7 linked regions of the Macaca mulatta genome follow. The protein of the gene in region 6 purifies or fractionates together with the protein of the main gene of each other region. This does not show direct contact. Links are inferred from orthologs where the notes say so. Each region holds a gene or a part of one and is shown on either strand. Other genes may lie near its edges. The genes, in order: SF3B1, BCAS2, SNRPB2, DDX23, TUBB, SNW1 and CCNT1.

Region 1 (3,500 bases), on a different chromosome or scaffold from region 6:
TATTTAAATGTCAGTGCACAAATACATTTCAGAACCAAACAAAACTTTTTTGTTATTGAGTATCCATCATTCTTTAAATCACTTCACTGATTTCTTTCATTTCTATACATAATCAAAAATTGTTAATAAAAGTTAAAAACGATTCTGAGTCTGGTCAGAATCCGCGGCTTTCTCTTTCCATAGGCAGCTGTAAGTTTATATTTATGCATAGTCATATATAACGTTGCTAAGTAAAAGGAAAGTGAACAAAAGTTGCAATTCAGATGTTGATAGTTTATTGACTTCTATTAAATAGGTATGCATAAGATGACTCCACCAATTAAAGATCTGCTGCCTAGACTCACCCCCATCTTAAAGAACAGACATGAAAAAGTACAAGAGAATTGTATTGATCTTGTTGGGCGTATTGCTGACAGGTAAGCAGATTACCCACACATTTTTATAAGCAGTATCAATTTTCAAATTTGGCCACTTTGTATTCAATTAGCAAAATTTTCTTAATGTCACTAATATAAGTGTATATGATTAGGCTGTCTAGTATTAATATTTTCAGTCAAATTTCAATTTGGATGGTAATGGGGTGGCCATGTAATTTTAGGACTAAACCTGTAAGACTAACTCTTCAGCCTTTCTGAAGAGGAATAACTCTTATTTAATGCTTAAAATGAGTTAACAATCATGTTTTTAGAACTGAATTTGCAAATTTATCCTTAAAACTTTTCCTAATGTCACAAATAATATGTGTATTTTTTAAATTAGGGGAGCTGAATATGTGTCTGCAAGAGAGTGGATGAGGATTTGCTTTGAGCTTTTAGAGCTCTTAAAAGCCCACAAAAAGGCTATTCGTAGAGCCACAGTCAACACATTTGGTTATATTGCAAAGGCCATTGGGTGAGTGTCACTTACTTCCATTAAAAAAAAAAATTATAATAAATTCGTTGTGGTGTTGAAAAATACTTCATGTAGAAATCTCTTTTGAGGCATGGTCTGAATAATGCAGTTGAGAAAGCTCTTCATTTAACCATTGACCTTCTGATTTTTGGAATGTATTCTTAAATTCAATTTGTGTGTTTGTTTTTTTTTTGAGACGGAGTCTTGCTCTGTCACCCAGGCTGGAATGCAGTGATTTGATTTCAGCTCACTGCACCCACCACCACCTCCCGGGTTCAGGAGATTCTCCTGCCTCACCCTCCCCAGTAGCTGGGACTATAGGCATGCGCCATCACGCCCAGGTAATTTTTGTATTTTTTAGTACAGATGAGGTTTCACCATGTGGGCCAGGCTGTTCTCGAACTCCTGACCTCAAGTGAGCCACCTATCTTGGCCTCCAGAAGTGCTGAGATTACAGGCATGAGCCACCACACCCAGCCTGTAGTCTTAAATTCTTAATTGAATTAAAATAGATGGAAGGGTTTAAGATTTACTTTAATTATACTTTAGGTGTTTTCAGGGAGGGAAACAGTACCATTTTCAGAAAAATACAAAATGTGTACTGGTCTTTTAGGATATTGCTTAAACTATTAAGGCAAATTTTTAGTCTCACAGCATCATTTAAGTCTCATATTAATGCTTTATGTGTTTTAAAAGTTGTATTATGGATTGTTTGAGCTCAGGAGTTTAAGGTTACAGTGAGCTGTGATTGTGCCAGTGTACGAGACCCTGTCTCTAAAAAAAAACAACAAAAATGCTATTCTAACATTACTCCACGGATTTAACTGAATTATAGCTGCTTTGTGAGATAATCTATGGTTGTTTGCTTCCATTCCATCACAACTAAAGTAGGAAAAAAGTCATTATAGAAAACGAGACACGGCCGGGCGCGGTGGCTCAAGCCTGTAATCCCAGCACTTTGGGAGGCCGAGATGGGCGGATCACGAGGTCAGGAGATCGAGACCATCCTGGCTAACACGGTGAAACCCCGTCTCTACTAAGAAATACAAAAAATAGCCGGGCAAGGTGGCAGCGCCTGTAGTCCCAGCTACTCGGGAGGCTGAGGCCGGAGAATGACGTGAACCCGGGAGGCGGAGCTTGCAGTGAGCTGAGATCCGGCCACTGCACTCCAGCCTGGGCTACAGAGCGAGACTCCGTCTCAAAAAAAAAAAAAGAAAAGAAAACGAGACACCACATGTCCATGTGGCTTAAGAAAATGTGTTCAAGGAATATGACATGTGAACGTCTGATTAATTAGGTAGAATTAACCAGACCACACCCCCTCCCCTAACACACACTAATTTCTCTCCTATTTTGGTAGCATAATATTTATTTCAGTGGTGATGGAGTCAAGAAATTTGTAGTGAATAGCTGTCATGCAAGCTTTTAGCCCCAATGTCCCTCTAAGTTTATGTCAAAGAAGAGGCAAATAGATGCAGCAAATTGTGTGGGAGGGAAGATAAAAGAAAAGAGATTTTATGGCCGGGCGTGGTGGCTCACGCCTGTAATCCCAGCACTTTGGGAGGCCGAGGTGGGCGGATCACAAGGTCAGGAGATCGAGACCATGGTGAAACCCCGTCTCTACTAAAAATAGAAAAAATTAGCCGGGCGCAGGGGCGGGCGCCTGTAGTCCCAGCTACTCGGGAGGCTGAGGCAGGAGAATGGCGTGAACCCGGGAGGCGGAGCTTGCAGTGAGCCGAGATTGTGCCACTGCACTCCAGCCTGGGCGACAGAGCGAGACTCCGTCTCAAAAAAAAAAAAAGAAAGAAAAGAGATTTTATATGGTTTATAATGGGAGACCACAATTCAGATATTCCCCTCACCACTCCTACCTAGTTCTAGTGCCCATTTTGACAACTCAGAATTACTCACTTTAAACATTTAGTTAAATTTCTTTATATTTCAGAAAGTTTAAAAACTGAAAATTACATATGAAAATTAATTTGAGTTAACTTACTTTTTTTTTTTTTTGAGAAGGAGTGTCACTCTGTCACGCAGGCTGGAGTGCAATGGCATTGTCTCAGCTCACTGCAACCTCTGCCTCCCAGGTTCAAGTGGTTCTCCCACCTCAGCCTCCCAAGTAGCTGGGACTACAGGTGTGTGCCACCACACTCGGCTAATTTTTGTGTCTTTAGTAGAGACGGGGTTTCACTATGTTGGCCAGGTTGGTCTCGAACTCCTGACCTCGTGATCCGCCTGCCTCGGCCTCCCAGAGTGTTGGGATTGCAAGCGTGAGCCACTGCATCCGGCCAAAATTTTTAAAATTTGTACAGCTGTGACCTCTGATCTTCTCAGAGTTAACTTTTTAAAACTGACCTTTTAATTTATATGAAATTTTAATGTAGAAACAATGCCAGTGACTTGGAAGTATTGCGTTTTATAAAATTACTGAGTTCCCTGTAATTATTAATATTTAAAAGTTTTCATCTTTATGCATTTTTTCTTCCATAAATTTTTGACTTATAATGTAACAGCTTGTTGACCCATTTTTTTTTTCAGCCCTCATGATGTATTGGCTACACTTCTAAACAACCTCAAAGTTCAAGAAAGGCAGAACAGAGTTTGTACCA
Region 2 (2,505 bases), on a different chromosome or scaffold from region 6:
CCTGGACACAAGTGATCCTCCTACCTCAGTCTCTCAAAGCACTGGGATTATAGACGTGAGCCACCACACCTAGCAAGACTACCTTTTGATATGTTGCAAATATTTTTTCTGAATTGGGCACGAATCTTTTATACATTTTAATTCCTTACAAGTAGAGAAGTAAGAACATTAACTCTGGAGCTGGACTATTGGGTTCAAAACCTGACTGACATTTTCTATAAAAAAGCTGACATTTTCAGCTATAAAACCTTGGCAAGTTTTGTTATTTAACTGGGGTCTGTTACATGTCCACATATGAGAAAAACAGTAACTGCCTCCTGAGGTTTTTGTGAGAACCAAATAATTTTTATTCCTATACATCTAGTTCACCGATCTAAGGTGTTCAGAACAGTGTTCGGCACATATTAAGCTTGATATAACTGTTACCTATGATGATGATGGTGATAATGATGACTCTGTATAGTCACTGTATTTCTGAAGTCTTGTTTGGTAATCAAGAATGTGTTTCGAACTATCTCTTTATTAGACAAAGTCATAAACCAAAAATTTCCAACTTCCTGTACATGTTGAAGGCTTTAAATAAGGATCCTTGGATACAAACTATGGTCCGCATGGCTGAAAATTAATTCTATGACACAGTATTATTCTAAAGTCATAACTGACTTTGAAAGCCTAAAGGTTTTCTTTTATGGTTACAAAAATACCACCAAGCTAGACATTTTAATTCTGTTGAGATATACAAATAGAATTACTACAGCAGCCCACACATTCTATGATTTCTAAACATTTAAACATCAATGGTTTTGCGAAGATGCTGTCGTCCTTCACAGTTCATTAAAAGTTCAGATGCCTTTTGTGAAAGCCCACCTTTTCTTCTACCTGCTAAACTGTCTTTTCAGAAGTCTTGCCGGATGTTTTCTTTGTTTGCCTCTCCATGTTGCTGCTTAATTTGATAGATTTCATTTTCTAGCTGAACAATAGTCCGTTCAATCTCATAATTCTTACTGACCAGGGATACCCAACTAGAATGGGGGGGAAAAAGGAAAAAAATTACTCAATGTAAAATTTCTCTTAGAAGATTTTATTTTAAATGTATACACATGTTCACTCAGAGCTATAACACTAACTTTCACTTTTTTTTTTTTTTTTGAGACAGAGTCTCGCTCTTGTTGCCCAGACGGGAATACAATGGCACAACCTTGGCTCACTGCAACCTCTGGCTCCCGGGTGCAAGCGATTCTCTCGCCTCAGCCTCCCAAGCAGCTGGATTACAGGCACCTGCCACCACGGCTGGCTCATGTTTTTGTATGTTTAGCAGAGATGGGGTTTTCACCATGTTGGCCAGGCTGGTCTCAAACTCCTGATCTCAGGTGAGCCACTGCACCCAGCCTAAACTTTACTTTCAACTCTCCATTAAAAAAAAATCAAGGCACAATTGTGGAAAAGTAGGTAAAGGGTACATGGAATCTGTATTCTTTCTTTCTTTCTTTTTTTTTTTTTTTTCCCAGAGATAGGGTCTTGCTCTGTTGACTAGGCTGGAATGCAGTGGTGTGATCACAGCTCACTGCAGCCTGGAACTCCTGAGCTCAAGCAATCCTTCCACCTTAGCCTCCCGAGGAGCTAAGACTACAGGTGCATGCCATCATGCCTGGGTTCATTTAAAAACATTTTTTTTTGTAGAGACAGGGTCTTGTTATGTTGCCCAGGCTCATCTTGAACTCCTGGCTTCAAGCAATCCTCCTACCTTGGCCTACCAAGGCACTAGGATTACAATGTGAGTCACCACACCTGGCTCTCTGTATTATTTCTTACAACTGCATGTGAATCTACAATTATCTCAAAAGTTCAACTAATAAAAAAGCAAATTAGAAACAGATGAGAGAACTTGTAAACCAGAAGAAATAGGAAAGAGTGATGAAGACAGTATCTAATTTAATCAACAAAAAGGAAAGAGGCAACAGTTTATTAAATTGAGGAAAAAACATGAAAGGGTACCAAAGAGACTGATAACACGTACATGGAGATGGTAGAACAAGGAGAATAACTTGAGTAATGAAGGGACAAAGGGAATGGGAAAGCAAAAAAGAAGAGAGAAATGACACAAATATTCAAGATACTGTATAAAGGCATACGTGTGTATGTAAAAGAACATTTTTTAAAATGTATAAACCTGAGGTACAAACAAATTATCAAGAAAAGTATGAAATCTCCCTGCCTACAATATTTTATAAAATTAATTTTTTTCCTTTTTTTTTTTAAGACGAGGTCTCACTCTGTTGCCCAGGCTGGAGTGCATTGGTGCGATTATGGCTCACTGCAGCTTCAACCTCCCAGGCTAAGCAATCCTCCTGCCTCAGCCTCCACAGTAGCTGGGACTACAGGCATGTGCCACTGTAGCTGGCTATTTTTTTTTTCCATTTAAAAGGAGAATAAAGGTAGAATTCTATTCAAGGCCAAAAATACTAGACTAAAAACAGGGTATTCTAAGACCAGAATCCTTTAGCA
Region 3 (4,279 bases), on a different chromosome or scaffold from region 6:
TTTATTTATTTATTTATTTCAGAGATGAGATCTCACTGTGTTGCCCAGGATGATTTCAAACTCCTGGCCTCAACCAGTCCTATCTCAGCCTCCGCAAATGCTGGGATTACAGGTGTGAGCTACTACACTCAGCCATTTCTTGTAGTATTAGATCTATATAATAAAAGGATGTTTTTCTGTGATCCCTTAACATTTTCTACACTCATCTGCATGTTCAAAGCATATTTGTTTACTGTTGCCTAGTTTTCCATGTCAGTCATTCATTTATCCAATACATATTAATTATCAGTCACTATTCTCATTACTAAGGGTACTTGAGTGAACAGAGCAGACAAAATCCCCACCCTTAAGAAGCTTATATTATTTTCAAGTTGTTGCAACTTTAGGTGTTTTTTAAAAAATAAAAATTCCCAGCTGATAAAACTAACTTATTTGACAGCTACCTGCCTCACCAATATAACCAAGTTATAGCCAGAACTCAGAAATAACATTTTTGAGCCTCACCAATATAACCAAGTTATAGCCAGAATTCAGAAATAACATTTTTGAGCATTTATTTTGTGTCTGGTAATGTGCCAACCACTTTACATTTATTTTAGCTCATTTAATGCCTACAACAACTAGAAGGAGATACTATTAGGATCCCTATTTTACAGACGAAAAGAGTGAAGATCAGAGAGATTAGTTAAGCAGAGGGTACAAGATTAGGTTCCACTTGACTCTTAACAACCATTTCATATTCCAGGTGATGCTTTACAGACATCTGATGAATGGATGAATGAATGAAAGCATGGGAATTTTTTTGGGAATTCCCATTCAGCTTGGCATAAATACTAACTCGTTAGACTACCCTAGAAAAATCTAGACTTTTTGTGGGAAGAAAAGAGTGGGAAGGGTGGTAGGGAATTATTTTTTCGAGTGAGTTGAGGCAGATGATCTTACAGATGATTGGGTTCTACTCAGCATGGTTGCCTTATCTGGTGAGAGATGAGAATTGGGCAGACACCAGTTCTGTTTGCCCTGGGCCCTCAAACTGGGTAGCCTCTGAGATTCAAGTTCATCAGCAGAGTGTTGGAGGACAGTTCCTGCAGAGCCCCAGGAATCAGAGGAGACTTGGAGGCCGGAGGAACCGGCTATCCTAAAGGTGATTTTAAACCGGGGCAGCCAGAGCCCAAAGAAGGGCGAAACCAGGACTAACTGCCCCGTAGCATGAGAGGCAGAGCCTGTAAAATTACATAGGATTTGTAAAGGTGGAAGGCACTCTTGCGCGGGGCAAAGCTTCGCAAGGTCGTGGTAAGGGAAATGATTCACTCTTCTTCCCTATTCCCTCGCAGCATTGTCCCCACAAACCCCGTCCCTTTCCCCATTTCCATTTCCGGACTCTTCTCCTGCCCGCAGGGCATACGCACGCGCAAAGAGATTACCTACGGGCCGCCAGAGACCAGGAAGCATCGATCTGCTCTGCGCTCGGCTTGTAGACTTGTGGGCGCTCGATTGAGGAGCGTGGCAACGTTACTTCCGGTGCCTGGCTCCGTTTCCTGCTTTTGGTTCTTACGGGAGACTGCGTAGGCCTTAGGTGGGTTCGTGCACCTTTTACCTCGCTGTTTCGGTTTTCCTGGCTCCTCGGCCCTTCTCTCCCCTGTTGCAGCTGGGAGCGGACGAAGCGCGAAGCTGGGGTGGGGACGCGTTTGGCCCGGATTTGGATCTCGGAGTACCCGAGTAGGCTGGGGGCGAGGAAGAGATGGGAGACTGACTCAGGGGCCGGGCATCGCGTGGCAGCTCCCTCGGACTTCGTTAGGGGGCCTCGGGCGAAGGTGCTTGTGTCTGGAGAGGCGGGAGGCTTGCGCTTACGAAGTAAAGGATAATGTCCGTCTGCTTGTGCGAGGCGCTGACAGTTCACTGCGCTTTCAGGTGTCTTCCAGCGGTTTCCTTTTGGTAGTGGCGGGTAATTCAGGGTGCCCCTGTAACAGTCCAGCCCACGATCAAACCTCGCATGAAACCCCGCAAGAGCCTCCCCTTTGTCCCCCTACCTTCAGTTTGACCTCTGCCTCAGTCACTTCCCTTTCGTCGTCTCCTTTGTGACCCTTGCCGCTTCTCCAGATTTCGATTTAGGGGGTCCCAAGGCTTGGAGAAGCGTTATGTTTTACCTGTTACCTGCACAAGTGCAGCCCCTGCTTGTAGGCTCTTCCCTTGTCAATCATCCAATGCTATTCACGTACAGTGGATGCTCCGTAAATATTTGTGAGATAAAGAAATATGTGGGGCACACAAGGAAATCAAGCAGCTTCACAGTTTGCAAGTAAAAACCACGTTAAAAAAATGCAATAGTGTGGTGGACGAGGAAGAGAAGTGTAGAGGAGAAAGCAAGGGCTGAATTTCCAGGCTTGATGCTTATTAGCTGTGTGACCTTAGGCACGTTCCTTAACTGGTAATAGCTGTTAATAATAGCTACTTTAAGTGCTTACCGTTGATGCAAAACTGTGCTAGAACTCATTTAGTCTTCTGAGTTCGGTTGGGTAGGTTCTGTTACCATTCTCATTTTACTGATGAGGACCTGACAGATTAAGGAACTTCCCTCAGGCAAACAGCTAATAAGAAGCATAAATAGGATTTGAATTCACATATGGTTGGTACTAGAATCTGAGTTTAACGGTCATGCCACACTGTTGTCATTGAGCTCCCTTCTTTCAAGTCGGTTAGAGGTAACCTTGGAGTCCAGACAGCTTGGTGATACTGTATACAAATTAAGTAATAGGTATGGAAGGACTTTGTAAGTGCACCCAAGAAGTAGTTGGCAAACTCCATTAATGTCTAACCTTATGATTTTCACTGGATGTACATTTGCTACTTGGTCATTTTTCTTCAAATCTACATTTTAAATTATTGAGGAGGTGGAAAGAAAATATCACTTGTCATAAGTGAAAAGTAAGTGTGAAAATAAATGTGTTGAATTAAATGATGTTACTAAAATCTGGCTAGGTATTGGTGCTCCAAGTTTTGAGCATGAGAAACTCTTCTCCTTTTGTATGAAAAGGAGGGCTAGTAGGTGCTGGAGGTACACTAAAGGCTTCAGCCAAACTGACATCATCTAACAATTGGGATTGAAAGAGAAGTGAAAGGTTAATAATTCGTGTGTTGTGTCCTTATGCCACAGTCCAGTATAATTTACTCCTTCCTTTTTATAACAGATTTTTTACTGTCTCCTTCTGAAGAATTTAACACAAACATGGATATCAGACCAAATCATACAATTTATATCAACAATATGAATGACAAAATTAAAAAGGAAGGTAAGTGCTTTTAAAAATACTTGTTCACTACTAAAATGTGTTTATTTACTACTGTCTTAAAAATTGTATTGCCTCAAAACCTCTTACCTCGTCGTCTTAGTGCCTGAAATAATGGTTTATTCCATTACCTATAGGGATTTGAAGACTTTTAAAAAACAAAAATAGGTAGGAATTGACAGTGTGTACAGTCTGTTTCTACTCATAGATATAATGGTTTCATCTGACTTATAAAATTACATATAGCCAATGGGAATAGTATATGTTTTTATAAACATTAAATATATATAACTATAAATAAGTGAATGGTGGGGAGGCAACTCAATGCAGTATCATTTTATGAAGACTTTTGTCATTATCTTATTACCAATGACTTGTTTCTTTTCTAATTTGGACAGAATTGAAGAGATCCCTGTATGCCCTGTTTTCTCAATTCGGTCATGTGGTGGACATTGTGGCTTTAAAGACCATGAAGATGAGGGGGCAGGCCTTTGTCATATTTAAGGAACTGGGCTCATCCACGAATGCTTTGAGACAGTTACAAGGATTTCCATTTTATGGTAAACCAATGGTAAGCCAATTCTATTATTTCACTTTAATCAAGAAATTAATGATATTGATGGTACAGTAGATTTGTAAATATGCTTGAAACTGTGGCTGTTGCTTTCTGCTTTTAATTACGTGTGTTTGGGTTTATGTGTTTTTATAGAAAAACAATAGCAGTAGAGTTTAATTTATGACGGTTAAGATGGCTGAAAACAAAATACATTGAGATGTAGAATATTTAAAAAAATAATGGCAGTCTAGGCAATAGTCTTATCTCAAAAAGTTAGAAATTAATAATAACCTGGAAGACTTGAAAAGAAACCTGTTTGTAAACTTGTAAAACATTACAAAAGTCAGAAGCTAAAGGGGAAATTCAGTCTGAAGTTTTAGAAAATGCTATAGTGAAATACTATATGTCAGAAGCTACACAGTCTAGATGAAACAGT
Region 4 (3,500 bases), on a different chromosome or scaffold from region 6:
GCATGAAATCACTTGTTGCCTGGATTTTCTCAGGAACGAATGAGGTCTCTGAGTAAGATGCAGGGATTAGACAGAGGAGGCAAAATCAGTAGAAACTTTTTTTTTTTTTGGCAAATCATTTCAGATCCTGAAGAAGCAACTTTCTTAGATGGGAGAGACTAAGGGATACCATGAAGGGGGTTGTATAAAGACTAAATTAAAAAAAAAAAAAAGTAAAAACTCTAAATTTCTACAGCAGATTTCTCATAAAAAGCTCTCCTCCACTTTCCTGAGATGAACGCAATGCACAAAGTCAAAGATTTGGTCTGGCAGAGTAAAGAGTAACTAAAAGCACAGGCTATGGATAAGAATCTCAGCTCTGCCCATTGCCAGCTGTTTGTGACTTCAGGCAGTTATTAACCTGAACCTCAGCCTGATCTATAACAAGGAAATATCACTACCTACTCTCACACATTATTGTGAGAATTAATGAGCTAATATATATGATATATACTATTTGTAATATAAACTTTGGTGCATAAGTTCTCAATAAATAGCACATACATATAAACCAGCTCCTTTCTTCATTCTACTGCACATCTATTCCAGAAACTAGAAACAAAGCCCCAAGATAGCCTTCCCAGACAGCAGGCTGGCTGCTAGATAGAAAAACAAACCTCACAACCCATGCGCAGCCTGAAGCCTTGGTCTTCTCTGGAGATGCCACCAATGACAGCCACAGTGCGGATACCTAGCGGCTTCCCAAACTTGATGGTCTCTTCCTCAATCTGTTGAGCCAACTCACGGGTGGGAGCCAGGATGATGGCATAAGGGCCTTGGTCTGACTCTTCGATTCTGTGGTAAATGGGGCATCCCACAGCTTCGTGAGCTTTGGTTCTTATCCAACCACAAGCCAGAGCAAGACAAAGTCACTCTTAGGGGAAGCGATGGGAATGGGGAGGATGATGAGAAAAGAATGAAATGATCTCACTCAAAAATCAGAGGCCAGGGCTGGGCGCTATGGCTCACACCTGTAATCCCAGAACTGTGGGAGGCTGAGGCAGGCGGATCACCTGAGGTCAGGAGTTTGAGACCACCCTGGCCAACATGGTGAAACTCTGCCTCTAATAAAAATACAAAAATTAGCCAGGGGTGGTGGCCGGCGCCTGTAATACCAGCTACTCGGGAGGCTGAGGCAGGAGAATTGCTTGAACCCAGGAGATGGAGGTTGCAGTGAGCTGAGATCGTGCCACTGTACTCCAGCCTGACAGAGACACTCTGTCTCAAAAAAAAAAAAAAAAAAAAAAAAAAAAAAGTAAGTCCAGAGGCCAGGCAAAATGGTACAAGCCTATAATCCCAGCACTTTGGGAGGCTGAGGTGGGTGAATCACTTGAGCCCAGGAGTTTGAGACCAGCCTAGGCAACATGGTAAAACTCTGTTTCTACAAAAAATACAAAAATTAGCTGGGCATGTTGGAACACACCTGTAATCCCAGCTACTTGGGAGGCTGAGGTGGGAGGATCTGCGCCTGGGAGGCAACGGTTGCAGTAAGCCAAGATCACACCACTGCACTCCAGCCTGGTCAACAAAGCGTGACTCCATCTCAAAAAAACAAAAATAAATAAATAATAAATAAATAAATAAATAAAAATCAGAGATTCGGCCAGGTGCAGTGGTTCACGCCTGTAATCCCAGCACTTTGGGAGGCCAAGGCAGGCAGATCACTTGAAATCAGGAGTTTGAGACCAACCTGGCCAACATGGTGAAACCTCATCTCTACTAAAAATACAAAAATTAAGGACGGGCGCAGTGGCTCATGCCCGTAATCCCAACACTTTGGGAGGCTGAGGCAGGCGGATCACCTGAGGTCAGGAGTTAAGAGACCAGCCTGAACAACATGTAGACCCCGTCTCTACTAAAAATACAAAAAAATTAGCCGGGCGTGGTGACGGGTGCCTATAATTCCAGCTACTCAGGAGGCTGAGGGAGGAGAATCACTTGAACCTGGGAGGAGGAGGTTGCAGTGAGCCGAGACTGCGCCACTGCACTCCAGCCTGGGCAACAAGAGCAAAACTCCATCTCAAAAAAACAAAACAAAACAAAAAAACAAAAGTTAGCTGGGTGTGGTGGCACATGCCTGTAATTCCCAGCTACTCAGGAGGATGAGGCAGGAAAATCACCTGAACCTGGGAGGCAGAAGTTGCAGTGAGCCGAGATCGTGCCACTGCACTCCAGCCTGGGTGACAGAGTGAGACTCTGTCTCAAAAAAATAAATATAATAAAATAAAAAAATAAAAATCAGAGACTCCAGGATAGCAAAGTTCTCCAGGTCTTTGCCAGCAACATATAATTCTTTGATATCATGATCCAATTATTCCCTAATATCGAACCAAGAATAAAGAAGCAAGCTTCCGATTATAGACGTGAAACAAAAAACACACATTCTTTTGCCACTTTCACCTTTCCTACCCAGACAAACCCACTCCAGCTGGTGCCAGCTGACCCCACCTGTCAATTTTGGGAAGTGTGGTGATCCAGACCAGCAGTGGGATGAGGAAGGCTGCTGTCTTGCCGCTGCCAGTCTCAGCCACACCAATGATGTCACGATTCTGTAGCCCAATGGGAATTGCCTGACGCTGGATAGGTGTTGGTTCCTGCAGTGACCCCGAGAAAGAGTAATAGGTACAGGCAGAATTATACAACCTGGGCTACCACTGATAGTAGTAAGCATATCTGCTAGTGCAATGGAAGGATGCCAAGTACAGTGCACAGAAATGGGGACCCCAAGAAGAAACATAATCACTAAAAGCTGACGCTTCTACCAGAAAGTGACAGAAAAGGTCACATTGGTACCCAATAGCAGGGATGGCTCCAAATAGTCAAGGAACAAAGTTCTCTATTCCCAAACTAGTGCAGGAACATTTCAGATCTTTTGGGCCAATCTACCCCTCCTTACCTTATAGCCACACTTATCAATGACTTCCAAGATGTGTGGGGGCAGAGAAGAGTCTTTCCAGGATCGGATGGGATTGGGGATCTTGCCACCTTTGGTGGTGATGCTGTAGTCCTCACGGAAGATCCGCCAGTCCCTGTCCGTCATCTCATCTAACTTTTTCTGAGACCAATGACGATCATCCCAGCGCTGCTTGGCTTCCTTCTTACGAAGTTTACGGAGTCTTGCCCTGGAGCAGGATGTGAGGAGTAAGTAGAATCAGTGCCCTCCAACTCCTTTCTGTAGAGTCTCTGGGCTCTGTCCAGCCACCCTAGCCTTGATCACTCACTCCTCCTGCTCCTTTTCTTCCAGGGTTCGCCTTTTCTCCATTAGGTCTCCATAGAAACGTGACTGCTCTCGTTTCTGCTGCTTGAGGTCAATGCCTGCAATGAAGCCTCGCCCTAACAACTGCACCTGGTGCCGTTCTTTATACCTGGGATTGAGACAGAGGAAAAGAAAAAAGAAGCAGCTGTTATGGCAGTAGGAGGGAAGGGCAGACTACTAATATGAAACAGTTCCTCCTGGACAG
Region 5 (4,152 bases), on a different chromosome or scaffold from region 6:
CCTGTCTGTACCAAAAATACAATATATATATATATATAGATAGATATAGATATATATATATAGATATATAGATCTGTGTGTAATCGAATGTGAATGAACAATGATGTTGACTTGATACTACATTTCTGAGTGGCCAGACTGCAACATCCTGGAGGACAGGGAACTAATTATTAATCATTTTGTAACCATAGTTCCTAATTTGGTGGATACATAGTAACTATCAAATAAGTGAATAAATCTCTGGGAAGAAGCTGGTGGACTCTGTCTTGAGCCCATCCAATTTTCCCCCATCAATTTCCCCTCTCTCCTTTTTCAATACTGGGTATCTTGCAGAGTTGCAATGGCGGCCACCTGGTCAGTGAAATAAGCGAATTGAAAAACCACTGACTTCATTAACATGTCTAAAAAGGTAGGCTGAAAAAACTGAAAATCTATCAGGCATCTCATTCCATAGTTCCCTGTTTGACAAGAAGATCAAGGTGTCTTCAAAGTCTGCCCTAAGGCCCAGATCTCCTACGTGGATGGAGACTTCTAGTTTCACAAATCCCCGATGTCGGTTTCTCTAAACTATTTTATTCTTTGAACATACTCTCCAGACAACATCTCTATCCTGAAAAGCCCTTGCTGCAATTTTGTTTCTCTTTCAAAACAATGACTCGAAAATTTCCAAGGAAATAGCAAGAGGGCGATTCCCTTCTTGAAGTATTTGAGAGAGCAGAAGCTTACTTAAGTTCATGACTTGGGTCACCAAAGGCCAGAGGTAGCAGAGCACGGTGCCACACTCCTCCCCATTTTTCGCTGAGCTAAGCAATTCTGTCTTCCCTAGAGGTACTGCAGCTGGGAGCTTTTAGGGCGTACCTCACCACCCAACTTCTGGAACCCCAGACTTCTCAATCCCTGCATCCCCGAGAACTGCTCACTTTTTGTACAAAAACCTCAGGCACAGAGGAAAGGAATCTTGCGCAAGGTCGTTTTTCATTTACAAAACAAAAACCCAACAAAAACCAAACCGGTACCCACCCATTCGTCACTTCATTTTGCACCGTGAACAACAATAGGGGACTACAACTCCCAAAGAGGACTGCGCTCGTCCACTGGCTCAGAGGCCAATGGACGCCTGGTACATGACCGGCATCGACTAATCAGGGCCAGGCTCGATGAGGCTTTGTCTCCCGACCGCGCGCGGGGCCGATTCTCCCGCCTCCCAGCCCCGGCGCACGCGCGCCCCGCCCAGCCTGCCTTCCCTCCGCGCCCTCCCCTCTCCTTTCTCCCTCTCAGAACCTTCCTGCCGCCGCGTTCGCACCTCGCTGCTCCAGCGTCTGGGGCGCGTTCCAACCTTCCAGCCTGCGACCTGCAGAGAAAAAAAATTACTTATTTTCTTGCCCCATACATACCTTGAGGCGAGCAAAAAAAATTAATTTTAACCATGAGGGAAATCGTGCACATCCAGGCCGGTCAGTGTGGCAACCAGATCGGTGCCAAGGTAAGAATTTTACACCTCTTTTATTTCTTTTTAGAAGGAAAAATCCAGGTAAGTTATGAAAAAATGGTTGTGGGGCATTTGCACTCTCCATTCTTAATCAAGCTTTGCCCCTCCCAAGTTTGTTACATTTATATATATAATAACTAGCATTTGCTTTTGGAAAACTGGGAATCATTTTTCTTGGCAGGCACATTTTGGAGAAACTAGTAAAAGGGCTCTTCGGGTTTCGGGGGCGGGAAGACCAAGGACATATGTTACTTAAAAGGGCTTCTAACGGTCCAAGAACCGGGCAGGGAGAGAGATGCGGAAACAGTCGGAGACAAAGCGGGGCGAGGTTTTGCCCATGTGCATCCCGCCCAGCCCCCCCTGCGGGGTTCTTAGGGCCAAACGGGAGCGGGAAGGGGTGAGGCTGTCGGGCGGCTGCAGAGAGCTCCAGTGCAAAGGTCGGGGGGCGATGCGCCAGGGTGGGCTGCGCTGGGCGCTACCATTCACAAAAGATCAGGGACCCCAGCGCGCCCGCGACCCCGGAGGGCCGGTCCTGTAGTTGTTCCGGGGTGGAAGGAGAATAAGAACGGGATTAATTTTTCTTGCTTTCATGGCACCTAAGCGAGACCTCTTTAGGGCGTGAACTGATATGTCGAGAAAATGGGGGTGTGTGGTTTTCTTTAACGAGTCCTTCAGGACTTAATGGGAGAGAAAGAATGCTTTAAATCAAGGGGGAGAAATCTAGCAAAGGAATAAAATTCCGAGGCCAAGGGTTTTTTTTTTTTTTTTTTTTGCGCGCGGTTACAGTGTAGCGGGGGAGGGGCGGGAGGAAGTGCGGGTGCTACGTTGTAGCAGAAGGGCGGGGCCCTGCGGGGCGGGGCCAGGGCGCCGCTGGCGCGCGGGGACAATGCGGCGTTGCCCGCCGGGAGGGGCGCGCTACCCTGGGCCCCGCCCCTCGCGCGGAATTCTTGCCCCTGGCCCCGCCCACGTGCGAAGTCCTTTGTCGGCGGCTCGACCTGCGCGTGCGCCGCAGTCACGTGGAGGGTGGGGGGTGGTCGACTGCGGCAGCAGCTCTTCTAGTGCCCCGAGCCTTTTGTGCGCCGCGCGGTGGGGCGGTGCCCAGCTCGGGGGAAGAACAGCGGCGCTTATCCAAGTATGGTCGACCTCCATCCGCCCACCGAGCACTTGGGACCCGCTGCACATAATCCCGAGCCGGGAAAGCTGTGGCTTTCCCGGGGGAGCGAGTGTCTAGGGGAAGGGTGTGGCAGGCACACGGGATGCCAGGCCCTAGAACAACGGCCTGAGCGCGTGTGGGATTAAAATGGGAGATGTGGGGCTGAGGCGGGCTAATTGGGATCGCTCCCGCTCAGGGGTTTGAGACCATCCTGGGCAACAAAGCGAGACCCCTCCCCCCGGCCACATCTCTTCAAAAAAAAAAAAAAAAAAATTAACTGGGTGTGGTGGCGCGCGTCTGTGGTCCCAGCTATTCGAGAGGCTGAGATGGGAGGATCGGTTGAGCCTGGGAGTTTCAGGCTGTAGTGATCCGTGATTGCACCACTGCACTGCAGGCTGGGCAACAGAGGAAGACCCTGTCTTAAAAATTAAAAGAAGCTGGGCGCGGTGGCTCACGCCTGTAATCCCAGCACTTTAGGAGGCCGAGGTGGGCGGATCAAGAGATCTAGACCATCCTGGTCAACATGGTGAAACCCGTCTCTACTAAAAATACAAAAAATTAGCTGGGCGTGGTGGCGCGCGCCTGTAGTCCCAGCTACTCCGGAGGCTGAGGCAGGAGAATCGCTTGAACCCGGGAAGCAGAGGTTGCAGTGAGCCGAGATAGCGCCATTGCACTCCAGCCTGGCGACAGAGCGAGACTCCGTCTCAAAAAAAAAAAAGAAAAAAGTTAAGAAAAAGATGAAATAAAATGGTAGTTGGGGACGTAGTTGACTGGGACTTGACTTGTGGTCTCGTTGCTCCTGCCCGGCAGTTCTGGGAGGTGATCAGTGATGAACATGGCATCGACCCCACCGGCACCTACCACGGGGACAGCGACCTGCAGCTGGACCGCATCTCCGTGTACTACAATGAAGCCACAGGTAAGGGCAAGAGCCCGGGCAGCTCAGGTTCCCCTTCCCTGTCTCCCACTTCTCTGGGGTCTCTTTCCATTCCTGGCACGCCTTATCCCCTTTCGGTGAATCTATCATTTTCTCCCTTTTGTGAACCACCGTCGGGGCCAAAGACGTCTGCTGCCACCTGGTGGCAGGACCTGGAACAAGTCTTGGGTCCCTGCTGTCTTCCATTCCCAGTGTATCTATAAACCTTTCCCTCTGCCAGATCTCACAGCTCTTAACTTTATTCTTTGTAGGTGGCAAATATGTTCCTCGTGCCATCCTGGTGGATCTAGAACCTGGGACCATGGACTCTGTTCGCTCAGGTCCTTTTGGCCAGATCTTTAGACCAGACAACTTTGTATTTGGTAAGTTATACAGATGATATTAGCAGATGATATACTATCGTGTTCAACTTATTTGGGTGCAAGGACACAGCAAAAGTTAGGAGATGATTGTTGTACTGGAGTGCTAAGAACTGTATTCTGAAATCTAATGGAGGGTAGAGGTAGGGTAGAGGTAGTGCCTGCTGTTGCTGGTACATTATGGGGCAGTGGGGGGAGAATACATCACAGTGAA
Region 6 (3,940 bases):
GAGGTGGAGTTTGCAGTGAGCTGAGATTGCTCCACTGCACTCCAGCCTGGGTGAGAGTGAGACTCTGCCTCAAAAAACAAAACAAAACAAAACAAAACAAAACATAACCAAAAAAACAAAAACGAAAACACAGAACAAATTTTCGTATGCTTTTATAGAAAACTCTTCTCCAGATGTCTTCTTCTGTGACTGCTCCTTGAGGAGCAGGGCTATCCCATAGGCAGTATGCCTAGAGTAGCCCCAGATCTTTCAACAGCTTGCATCTTAGCACTCATGTCTCTGCTCAGTTACCTCTCTCTAGAGCTGTTTTCTGACCATCTTACCCAAAATAGCCACTTCACCCCAAACTTTGAGTCACTCTCTAACCCTCTTTTATTCCTAGCGTGTATTACCTGAAATTGCATTATGATTTTACTCATAGTCTTTCTATCCCAGTAGAATGTAAGCTCCATGTGGATAGAGTATAAAATTAAAACAAATTCAGTTTCTCCTATTATTTCACTCAACAATCAACAACACACAACACTTCTGATACCAGATACATGATGGTTTTTCCCCACGTATCAAGCAAGCTATCAATTGTTTACTGGACACCAGTCAAGTGTCCTCTAATTCAATTCATTTTTGATGTTATCTACCTGGAGATAGTGTCAGATGTCACAGGTCGAGGGCTCAGTCCCTCAAGACTGCCCTTACTTCAGATGCCAATAGTAGGTCCAGGTCACCGGCCAACTGACTACAAACCAGGGTTCCCATGACCTCATCCTCAGGTTCAACTAATTTGCTAGGGTAGCTCACAGAACTCAGGGAAATGCGTTTACTGGTTTAAAGGATGTTACAAAGAATACTGAGGAACCCCAGATGGTAGGTATGGAAAGCTCTGGAGTCCCCAAGACTGGTCATTTGAATACTGCATTCTGCCACTGCAATTTTAAGCACACAATACCCATGACAGGCCACACGATGTGGTGGCTGAGATGGGTGGATCACTTAAGCCCAGTTCAAGAACAGGCTGGGCAACATGGCAAAACCCCACCTCTACTAAAAAACCAAAAATTAACTGGGCATCAAGGCAAGCGTCTATAGTCCCAGCTACTCTGAGGCAGGAGGATCACCTGAGCCTTGGGAGGTTGAAGATGCAGTGGGCTGTGATTGGGTCACTGCACTCCAGCCTGGGCAAGAGTGAGACCCTGCATCAAAAAATAAAATAAAAAAATACCCATCACATTTCTAGAAATTTTTCCTGTGTGTCCATTTCAAATTCCACCTTTTCCACGAAGTCTCCCCTCATAACTTTACTAGTCTATGACACAGTGTCTCACACCTGGAGGGTACTCAAATGTTTGCTGCCTGTAACATTTACTAAAGAAAAAACTCTTGGCTGGGCATGGTAGCTCATGCCTGCAATCCCAGCAGTTTGGGAAGCCTAGGTGAGAAGACTGATGGAGGCCAGGAGTTGAAGACCACCCTGGCCAACGCAGTGACACCCCATTTCTAGCTTTTTATTAAAAAAAAATTCAGATGCCGGGCATGGTGGCTCACGCCTGGCACTTTTGGAGGCCGAAACAGGAGGACTGCTTGAGGCCAAGAGTTAAAGACCAACCTGGCCAACATAGCAAGACTCCATCTCAAAAAAATAGTTTTTTAAAAAAAAAGGCAAAAAAATTTTTAGAAAGGAGAGGGGAAAGAAAACTCTCCAGCCCACACAACTTATTCCATCTAATTCTTTTTGCACTAAGGTTAGTATAACACAAATGTGCATTTTGTGTTCTGTGATTGTTTTATGTCTGTATACCTTGTACCCCATCTTCCCTGTTGCCAAAGACAGATTTTCTTCTGTGTACACAATCCCCAGGACAGAGCAAAGCACCAACAGTAATTCCCAAAGTAATTTTTTGGATTCATACTGTCATCAGCCAGAAAAAAACAAAAAAACATGCGTGAGGAGAATGAAGGGTGTTAAGAGGGCTCAAGTTGATGTCCTAAAAGGACTACTTTCTCTACAACCTTCCTGAACACTAGACTTTTCCTGTTCAGTTCGCATGTAAAGTTTTCCCACTTAAGGTGGGGCAGCAACGTTGGGGACTAGCAGGGGTAGCGTAACTTCTCGGACTCTCCCACTGGAAAGCATCTTTTTCTTAAAGGCAAGGAGCACTTTACAGACAGTTACTAAGGTAACCGAAAACAGCAAAACTCTGAGGTGGTTCTATCTACGGAAGAAATTCTAAGCTCCAAAGTTAAAGTGCGGAGCAGTGGCGCATATCAGCAGACAGCTGCCACTAGTGTGGCTCATTTAAATCTCTGTTCAGCTCCGGGTCCCTTTTTTCAGGAATCCTTGTTTCGGGACACAGGCAAACGGCCGGAAAGCCGCGCAGTCGCAGCCCGTGCGCTTCACTCCGCCCAAATAAGCCACTACCGTCCCCAACCCCTTCTTGTTCGCCCGAGCCGCGGACCTGAGGGAGCGTTATTCGCTCCCCGCAAGATGCTTAAGCGAAAAATGCAGTCTTCAGTGTCTGAGGCCACGCCGCGGCTTTCGGCCTCGGTGAGGGGTGAACTAAACCCGGGAAACCGCGGAAAGACCCCAGCTTCGACTAGGCCTAGTCGTAGCGGCGGCCAGCGGGAGGACGTAGCCGTAGTTTTGGCCCACGTCATTCTGTGCCCCGGGTCAGGTCACCGCCCCAAGAGTATGGGAAGAGAAATGAAAAAGATTGGTACTCCCAGACCCTTCCGTATCGAGGACCCCAATCAACAACCCACCTGGTGAGCGCCATCTTCTTCCGCTTCTTCCAGCGCGAGCGACAGCACCGCGGGGCGGGTCTTTCCAGATGATGAGGAGCGGAAAGGAAGGAGCGCGCGATGCGCAGGCGCTCTGGCCGAAAGGCCTTCTGGGATTTGTAGTTCTTTGAACGGGAGTACCATTCGTTTCTATTCTGACCGGACCAAGCGGTTATCAAGGAATAATCTCTTCAGCTAGCAACAAATACATAACTCGATCGCTTATATGCGACATGATAGGGCGTTCCCTAGGCAAAATATCAAAGATAGAGGGAGATGCTGTTTAGGCCGCTTTATTACGTTCCTTACTCAGCCCCATTCCCCCAGAAAGGGTACAAAATACAAAAGCTTCCCCGGGACAGCTCTGTAAGTGAAAGGGTGATAGGGAGTTTAAAACGATAGGTAATAGTGAGACTGGCTAATGGAGAGTTCTTGGACTCTGAAAACATTCATACTCAAAACTTTTCTTTAAACCGTATCCTCCTACCACCCAAAACAATCTCCTGGGGAGATATTTTGTAATCCTTGGTAATTTACCGAGCGTCTGGGTTCCCTGCCCAGGGTATGACAAGGCTGAAATCTCATAGGAGGCTCTGGAGAAAAATCCATCTTCTAACTCATTCTTGTTTGCAGAAATCAGTTCCTGGCGGTTGTGGGATCGACTTCCCTGTTTTGTTGTGTGCTGCTAGTGGTGGCCACCCTCAGCTCCTAGGGATCACTCTCAACTCCTTCCCACATGAACCCTATTTATTGGTAGTTCACAACATGGATGTTTGCTTGCTCCCGGGCCAGCTGAAGCACATCTTTCTGTCTCCTCTTCTGCCACCGTTGGAGAAAAATGCTCTGCTTTTAAAGGGCTCGTGTGATTAGATCAGGCTTACCTGGATAATCTCCCTGTTTTGAGATCAACTCTTGGCCGGGCGCGGTAGCTCACACCTGTAATCCTAGCACTTTGGGAAGCCGGGGCGGTCGGATTGTCTGAGCTCAGGGGTTCCACACTAGCCTGGGCAACATGGTGAAACTCTGTCTCTACTAAAAATACAAAAATTATCTGGGTGTGGTGGTGTGCTCCTGTAGTCCCGGCTACTCGGGAGGCTGAGGCAGGAGAATCGTGTGAATCGGGAGATGGAGGTTGCAGTGAGCCGAGATCACGCCACTGCACTCC
Region 7 (4,197 bases), on a different chromosome or scaffold from region 6:
CAGGAGAATCGCTTGAAATGGGAGGCGGAGGTTGCGGAGAGCCAAGATCACGCCATTGCACTCCAGCCTGGGCAACAAGAACAAAACTCCATCTCCAAAAAAAAAAAAAAAACCAATTTATAAGGCCTGGCTGGGCACGGTGGTTCACACCTGTAATCCCAGGACTTTGGGTAGAGGCAGAGGCAGGTGGATCACCTGAGGTCAGGAGTTTGAGACCAGTTTGGGCAACATGGCGAAACCCCTCCTTGACTAAAAACACAAAAATTAGCCAGGCATGGTGGCAGATATCTATAATCTAATATGATTTACAGCGCCCACCCTGATCTGGCCCATAGGTATGTCTCCACTACCTCTCTCACCTGCTAAACTCCATCAACTAAATTACTTTCTTTTTTTTTTTTTCAGACAGAGTCTCGTTCTGTCACCCAGGCTGAGTGCAGTGGCACAACCTCAGCTCGCTGAAACCTTCACCTCCTGGGATCAAGCAATTCTCCTGCCTCAGCCTCCCAAGTAGCTGGGACTACCGGCTGGGCCACCACGCCTGGCTAATTTTTGTATTTTTAGTAGAGATGGGGTTTCACCTTGTTGGCCAGGCTGGTGTCGAACTCCTGACCTCAAGTGATCCACCCGCCTCAGTCTCCCAAAGTGCTGGGATTACAGGCATGAGCCACCACACCCGGCCTAAATTATTTTCAGTTCCACTTCTCTCTGGCAACCAAGCCTTCTCATGTGGTGATCCACGGGACAGGAAACATCTGAAATGATCTGATAATTCATTAACTGAAGAGGAACAAAAAACTTGTAAATGCCTTACTTCTAAAAACTTCAGCAGACAATATGGGGTAGAGAGATGATGCAGTCCCAAATTACAACAGCCTTTTTTTGAGGGGGCAGAGTCTCGCTCTGTCGCCCAGGCTGGAGTGCACTGGTACCATCTTGGCTCACTGAAACCTCTGCCTCCCAAATTCGAGCGATTCTCCTGCCTTAGCTTCCCCAGTAGCTGAGATTATAGGCACTCGCCACCAAACATGGCTAATTTTTGTATTTTTAGTAGGGACGGGGTTTCACCATTTTGGCCAGGCTGGTCTTGAACTCCTGGCCTCAAGTGATCGACCCGCCTGGGCCTCCCAAAGTGCTGGTATTACAGGTGCGATCCACCGCGCCTGGCTGACAACCTTAATGACAACACACATACAAAAAGGAAAGCGTTTTAAGGATACACTGAAATAGAATTTCGAACAAAAAGATTTACTCCGTACTGATAGGATGCTTAGGAAACACATCTGGACATCAGCAGGAAACAAACTGGCGATAAAAAAGACACCCATTTTGAGATGCACACACCCTTAAGATACAAACATTACTGTCAGCCACACATTTAAATAGAAGCTGCACCCAAGAAAATTTTCACACACAGAGTGGAAAGAACTTTAAAACTATACAAGTTTTCTCCACCACAAAATAAGTGTATTTCCTGACAAACAAAAATATGTGGGAGAGGATACCTCATTTTTTTTAAAATTTTTTTTTCTGAGACGGAGTTTCACTATTGTTGCCCAAGCTGGAGTGTAGTGGCGCGATCTCGGCTCACTGCAACCTCCACCTCCCGGGTTCAAGCGATTCTCCTGCCTCAGCCTCCTGACTAGCTGGGATTACAGCTGCCCGCCACTAAGCCGGGGTAATTTTTTGTATTTTTAGTAGACAGGGGTTTAATTATGTTGGCCAGGCTGGTCTCGAACTCCTGACCTCAGGTGATCCACCCGCCTCGGCCTCCCAGAAGTGCAGAGATTACAGGTGTGAGCCACCGCACCCGGCCGTTACCTCATTTTTGAAATAGAAAGAAAATGAAATACACACCACCACTCTAAGTAACTTAAGGACCCAGTATTTTGTAAACGATTTAAAACATTAGATTCGTGGGTAACCCCTACAAACGTAAACTAACATCTTTCCTCTGAAATTCTATAAAACAGCAGCTACTAATTGAGCATCTTAATGCAAAGCATTGTGATGGACACAGAATCAAACACAAGAGGTATCATCCCATTTTATAGACAAGACGACCAAGAATTTGACAGGTCACTTAAACAGCTAGCAGATGAGGAATGGATTTTGGACCAAGGCTGAGGCATTAATTCTAGACCACCCTTTATAAGACTTTCAGGTACTGAATTTCTCGAAATTTACACACTAGGTTTCGGAAGCAGCCCTCAACAGAGAAACCTCTGCCAGACCCAAACCCCTAGGGCACAGCGGAAAATGAGAAACTTAACGTCACCAGAGCCGATCAGAACACAACGAAGAGAGAGTTGGAAGGGCTGGTTAAAACACGAAGCCGGGAAGGATACGAATGCCCAGCAAGGTTGGTGGCACGGGTGAGCGAGCGGGAAATCAACTCCGCCTCGCTTCCCTAGCGCGAACTGAGTTTCAGCCCGCCCCATCGTGGGCTCTCCCAACTAGACATCCAGCTTCTGCCCACCTTCTTCCCCACTTTCGTCCCCCACCAGAGCCTGAGACCTAGACGCCAGAGCATGGCGGGACCAACTCAAAGGCCGAAGGCCTAGGCCGCAAGGATACACGTTAAGACGCTGCCCCATGTCCTGGAGCAGATTGGCCGCCTGCTGGCGATAAGAAAGTTCTTTATCTGGGTCCACACCAAATCGACGGGATGGGCTATTTTCCAGCTGTTCTCGAGTGAAATACCACCGTTTGTTGTTGTTCTTCCTGTCTCCCTCCATAATGCTTCAACCAGAAGGCAGCGGCGGAGGCTGCAAACACTTCCCAGCGTCACCTAAGAGGCGACCCACATCCGCTGTGCGGGGGCAACTGCGACTTGACGAACTTCCGCTAAGCGTCGACCGCCGGGTTGTGACTCTCTTCCGTAAAGAAAGCAAAAGTCAAAGGACCTACTTCCGGAATGCACCTCGCGACACCCCGTAGCCGAGTTAACAGCCAATATGCGACGAGAAAAAAACCTTGAGGCGAGGACGCAGGCGCGTCACGTGACCCTTGGGAGGTGGCGTGGGCTTAGAAGTTCTCGCTTAAAAACCATGAATCTTCCCGCGAGAACCGGATTGAGCGTTGGCGCCCGGGGTTAGGTTGTGAGGTCGCAATTGTAGTGGTATGAGGCGCCCGCCCACGCGCCGCTTGGTGGTTCTTAGGAGAACTTAGTTTGTGACTGCAGTGGTGATATAAAATGGGGCAGATGGACCGCGCGCGGTGGTTCACGTCGGTAATCTCAGCACTTTGGGAGCCCGAAGCAGGCGGATCACGAGGTCAGGAGTTCGAGACCAGCCTGGTCAATATGGCGAAACCCCGGTCTCTACTAAAAATACAAAATTAGCCGGGCGTGGTGGCGTGCGCCTGTAGTCCCAGCTACTCGGGAAGCTGAGGCAGGAGAATCGCTTGAACCCGGGAGACGGAGGTCGCAGTGAGCCGAGATCGCGCCACTGCACCCCAGCCTCCAGCCTGGGTGACAAAGCGAGAGACTCCGTCTAAAAAATAAATAAAATAAAAATGGGGCAGATGAACTTGAAAGAGAAAGTAGGTGAGGCTGTCAGAAACTGAAAAACAGAATCAAATGGTGGGGCTCTTTCGTATATGGGAACATAAAGCAACTAGAAGGCTGTTACGTTGTTGGTAGCAATGTAAAATACGACAACCCATTTGGAGAGGTCGCTTTAATGTGTAGCCAAACTCATGAAAACATTCTCACGTTTCGCCGCAGTGATCCAACTTAAAGGAATAAAATGAAATTAATAACATTAAGAGCTTACATGTCCCATGCACAATACTGACTTAAATATACTGTTTCATTTATTCAGCGGAACTCTCAAGAGGTAATTTTTAAGTACGTTTGCTAATGGGTGAACTAATACTGCCCCTTGAGTGTGAACAGCCTCCACCACTACCCCTCACTTGCAGAGATTAGCAAATTCCTGCCCTCTGTCAAGATATTTCCCAGCTCCTTTGCCGGCGCGGTGGCTCACGCCTGTAATCCCAGCAGTTTGGGAGGCCAAGGCGGGCGGATCACCTGAAGTCCGGAGTTGGAGACCAGCCTGGCCAACATGGTGAAACCTCGTCTCTACTGAAAATACAAAAATTAGCCAAGTGTGGTGGCGCACGCCTGTAATCCCAGCTACTCGGGAGGCTGAGGCAGGAGAATGATTTGAACCCGGGAGGCGAAGGTTGCAGTGA

The links.
Region 1: the proteins of SNW1 (region 6) and SF3B1 purify together in Homo sapiens (co-immunoprecipitation; 3 studies listed by BioGRID and IntAct, with this or other methods). This does not show direct contact. The link is inferred for Macaca mulatta from reciprocal best matches to the Homo sapiens genes SNW1 and SF3B1.
Region 2: the proteins of SNW1 (region 6) and BCAS2 purify together in Homo sapiens (co-immunoprecipitation; 3 studies listed by BioGRID and IntAct, with this or other methods). This does not show direct contact. The link is inferred for Macaca mulatta from reciprocal best matches to the Homo sapiens genes SNW1 and BCAS2.
Region 3: the proteins of SNW1 (region 6) and SNRPB2 purify together in Homo sapiens (affinity purification with mass spectrometry; 3 studies listed by BioGRID and IntAct, with this or other methods). This does not show direct contact. The link is inferred for Macaca mulatta from reciprocal best matches to the Homo sapiens genes SNW1 and SNRPB2.
Region 4: the proteins of SNW1 (region 6) and DDX23 purify together in Homo sapiens (affinity purification with mass spectrometry; 3 studies listed by BioGRID and IntAct, with this or other methods). This does not show direct contact. The link is inferred for Macaca mulatta from reciprocal best matches to the Homo sapiens genes SNW1 and DDX23.
Region 5: the proteins of SNW1 (region 6) and TUBB purify together in Homo sapiens (affinity purification with mass spectrometry; 3 studies listed by BioGRID and IntAct, with this or other methods). This does not show direct contact. The link is inferred for Macaca mulatta from reciprocal best matches to the Homo sapiens genes SNW1 and TUBB.
Region 7: the proteins of SNW1 (region 6) and CCNT1 purify together in Homo sapiens (affinity purification with western blotting; 3 studies listed by BioGRID and IntAct, with this or other methods). This does not show direct contact. The link is inferred for Macaca mulatta from reciprocal best matches to the Homo sapiens genes SNW1 and CCNT1.

The regions. Positions count from the first base shown.
Region 1 is NC_133417.1:102,334,263-102,337,762, reverse strand, and holds part of SF3B1 (splicing factor 3B subunit 1), read left to right. Parts: intron 1-295; coding exon 296-416; intron 417-759; coding exon 760-891; intron 892-3,429; coding exon 3,430-3,500. UniProt on the Homo sapiens protein: Component of the 17S U2 SnRNP complex of the spliceosome, a large ribonucleoprotein complex that removes introns from transcribed pre-mRNAs.
Region 2 is NC_133406.1:125,685,034-125,687,538, reverse strand, and holds the end of BCAS2 (pre-mRNA-splicing factor SPF27), read right to left. Parts: intron 1,023-2,505; coding exon 896-1,022; 3' UTR 501-895; downstream 1-500. UniProt on the Homo sapiens protein: Required for pre-mRNA splicing as component of the activated spliceosome. Component of the PRP19-CDC5L complex that forms an integral part of the spliceosome and is required for activating pre-mRNA splicing.
Region 3 is NC_133415.1:67,266,391-67,270,669, reverse strand, and holds the start of SNRPB2 (U2 small nuclear ribonucleoprotein B''), read left to right. Parts: upstream 1-1,479; 5' UTR 1,480-1,576; exon of another isoform or gene 1,577-1,911; intron 1,912-3,188; 5' UTR 3,189-3,226; coding exon 3,227-3,290; intron 3,291-3,685; coding exon 3,686-3,858; intron 3,859-4,279. UniProt on the Homo sapiens protein: Involved in pre-mRNA splicing as component of the spliceosome. Associated with sn-RNP U2, where it contributes to the binding of stem loop IV of U2 snRNA.
Region 4 is NC_133416.1:55,994,109-55,997,608, forward strand, and holds part of DDX23 (probable ATP-dependent RNA helicase DDX23), read right to left. Parts: intron 3,405-3,500; coding exon 3,261-3,404; intron 3,162-3,260; coding exon 2,936-3,161; intron 2,634-2,935; coding exon 2,488-2,633; intron 835-2,487; coding exon 657-834; intron 1-656. UniProt on the Homo sapiens protein: Involved in pre-mRNA splicing and its phosphorylated form (by SRPK2) is required for spliceosomal B complex formation.
Region 5 is NC_133409.1:152,322,544-152,326,695, reverse strand, and holds the start of TUBB (tubulin beta chain), read left to right. Parts: upstream 1-1,352; 5' UTR 1,353-1,426; coding exon 1,427-1,483; intron 1,484-2,525; exon of another isoform or gene 2,526-2,809; intron 2,810-3,452; coding exon 3,453-3,561; intron 3,562-3,830; coding exon 3,831-3,941; intron 3,942-4,152. UniProt on the Homo sapiens protein: Tubulin is the major constituent of microtubules, a cylinder consisting of laterally associated linear protofilaments composed of alpha- and beta-tubulin heterodimers.
Region 6 is NC_133412.1:150,979,795-150,983,734, forward strand, and holds the start of SNW1 (SNW domain-containing protein 1), read right to left. Parts: upstream 2,801-3,940; 5' UTR 2,772-2,800; coding exon 2,758-2,771; intron 1-2,757. UniProt on the Homo sapiens protein: Involved in pre-mRNA splicing as component of the spliceosome. As a component of the minor spliceosome, involved in the splicing of U12-type introns in pre-mRNAs.
Region 7 is NC_133416.1:55,880,503-55,884,699, forward strand, and holds the start of CCNT1 (cyclin-T1), read right to left. Parts: upstream 2,801-4,197; 5' UTR 2,739-2,800; coding exon 2,578-2,738; exon of another isoform or gene 2,349-2,577; intron 1-2,348. UniProt on the Homo sapiens protein: Regulatory subunit of the cyclin-dependent kinase pair (CDK9/cyclin-T1) complex, also called positive transcription elongation factor B (P-TEFb), which facilitates the transition from abortive to productive elongation by phosphorylating the CTD (C-terminal domain) of the large subunit of RNA polymerase II (RNA Pol II).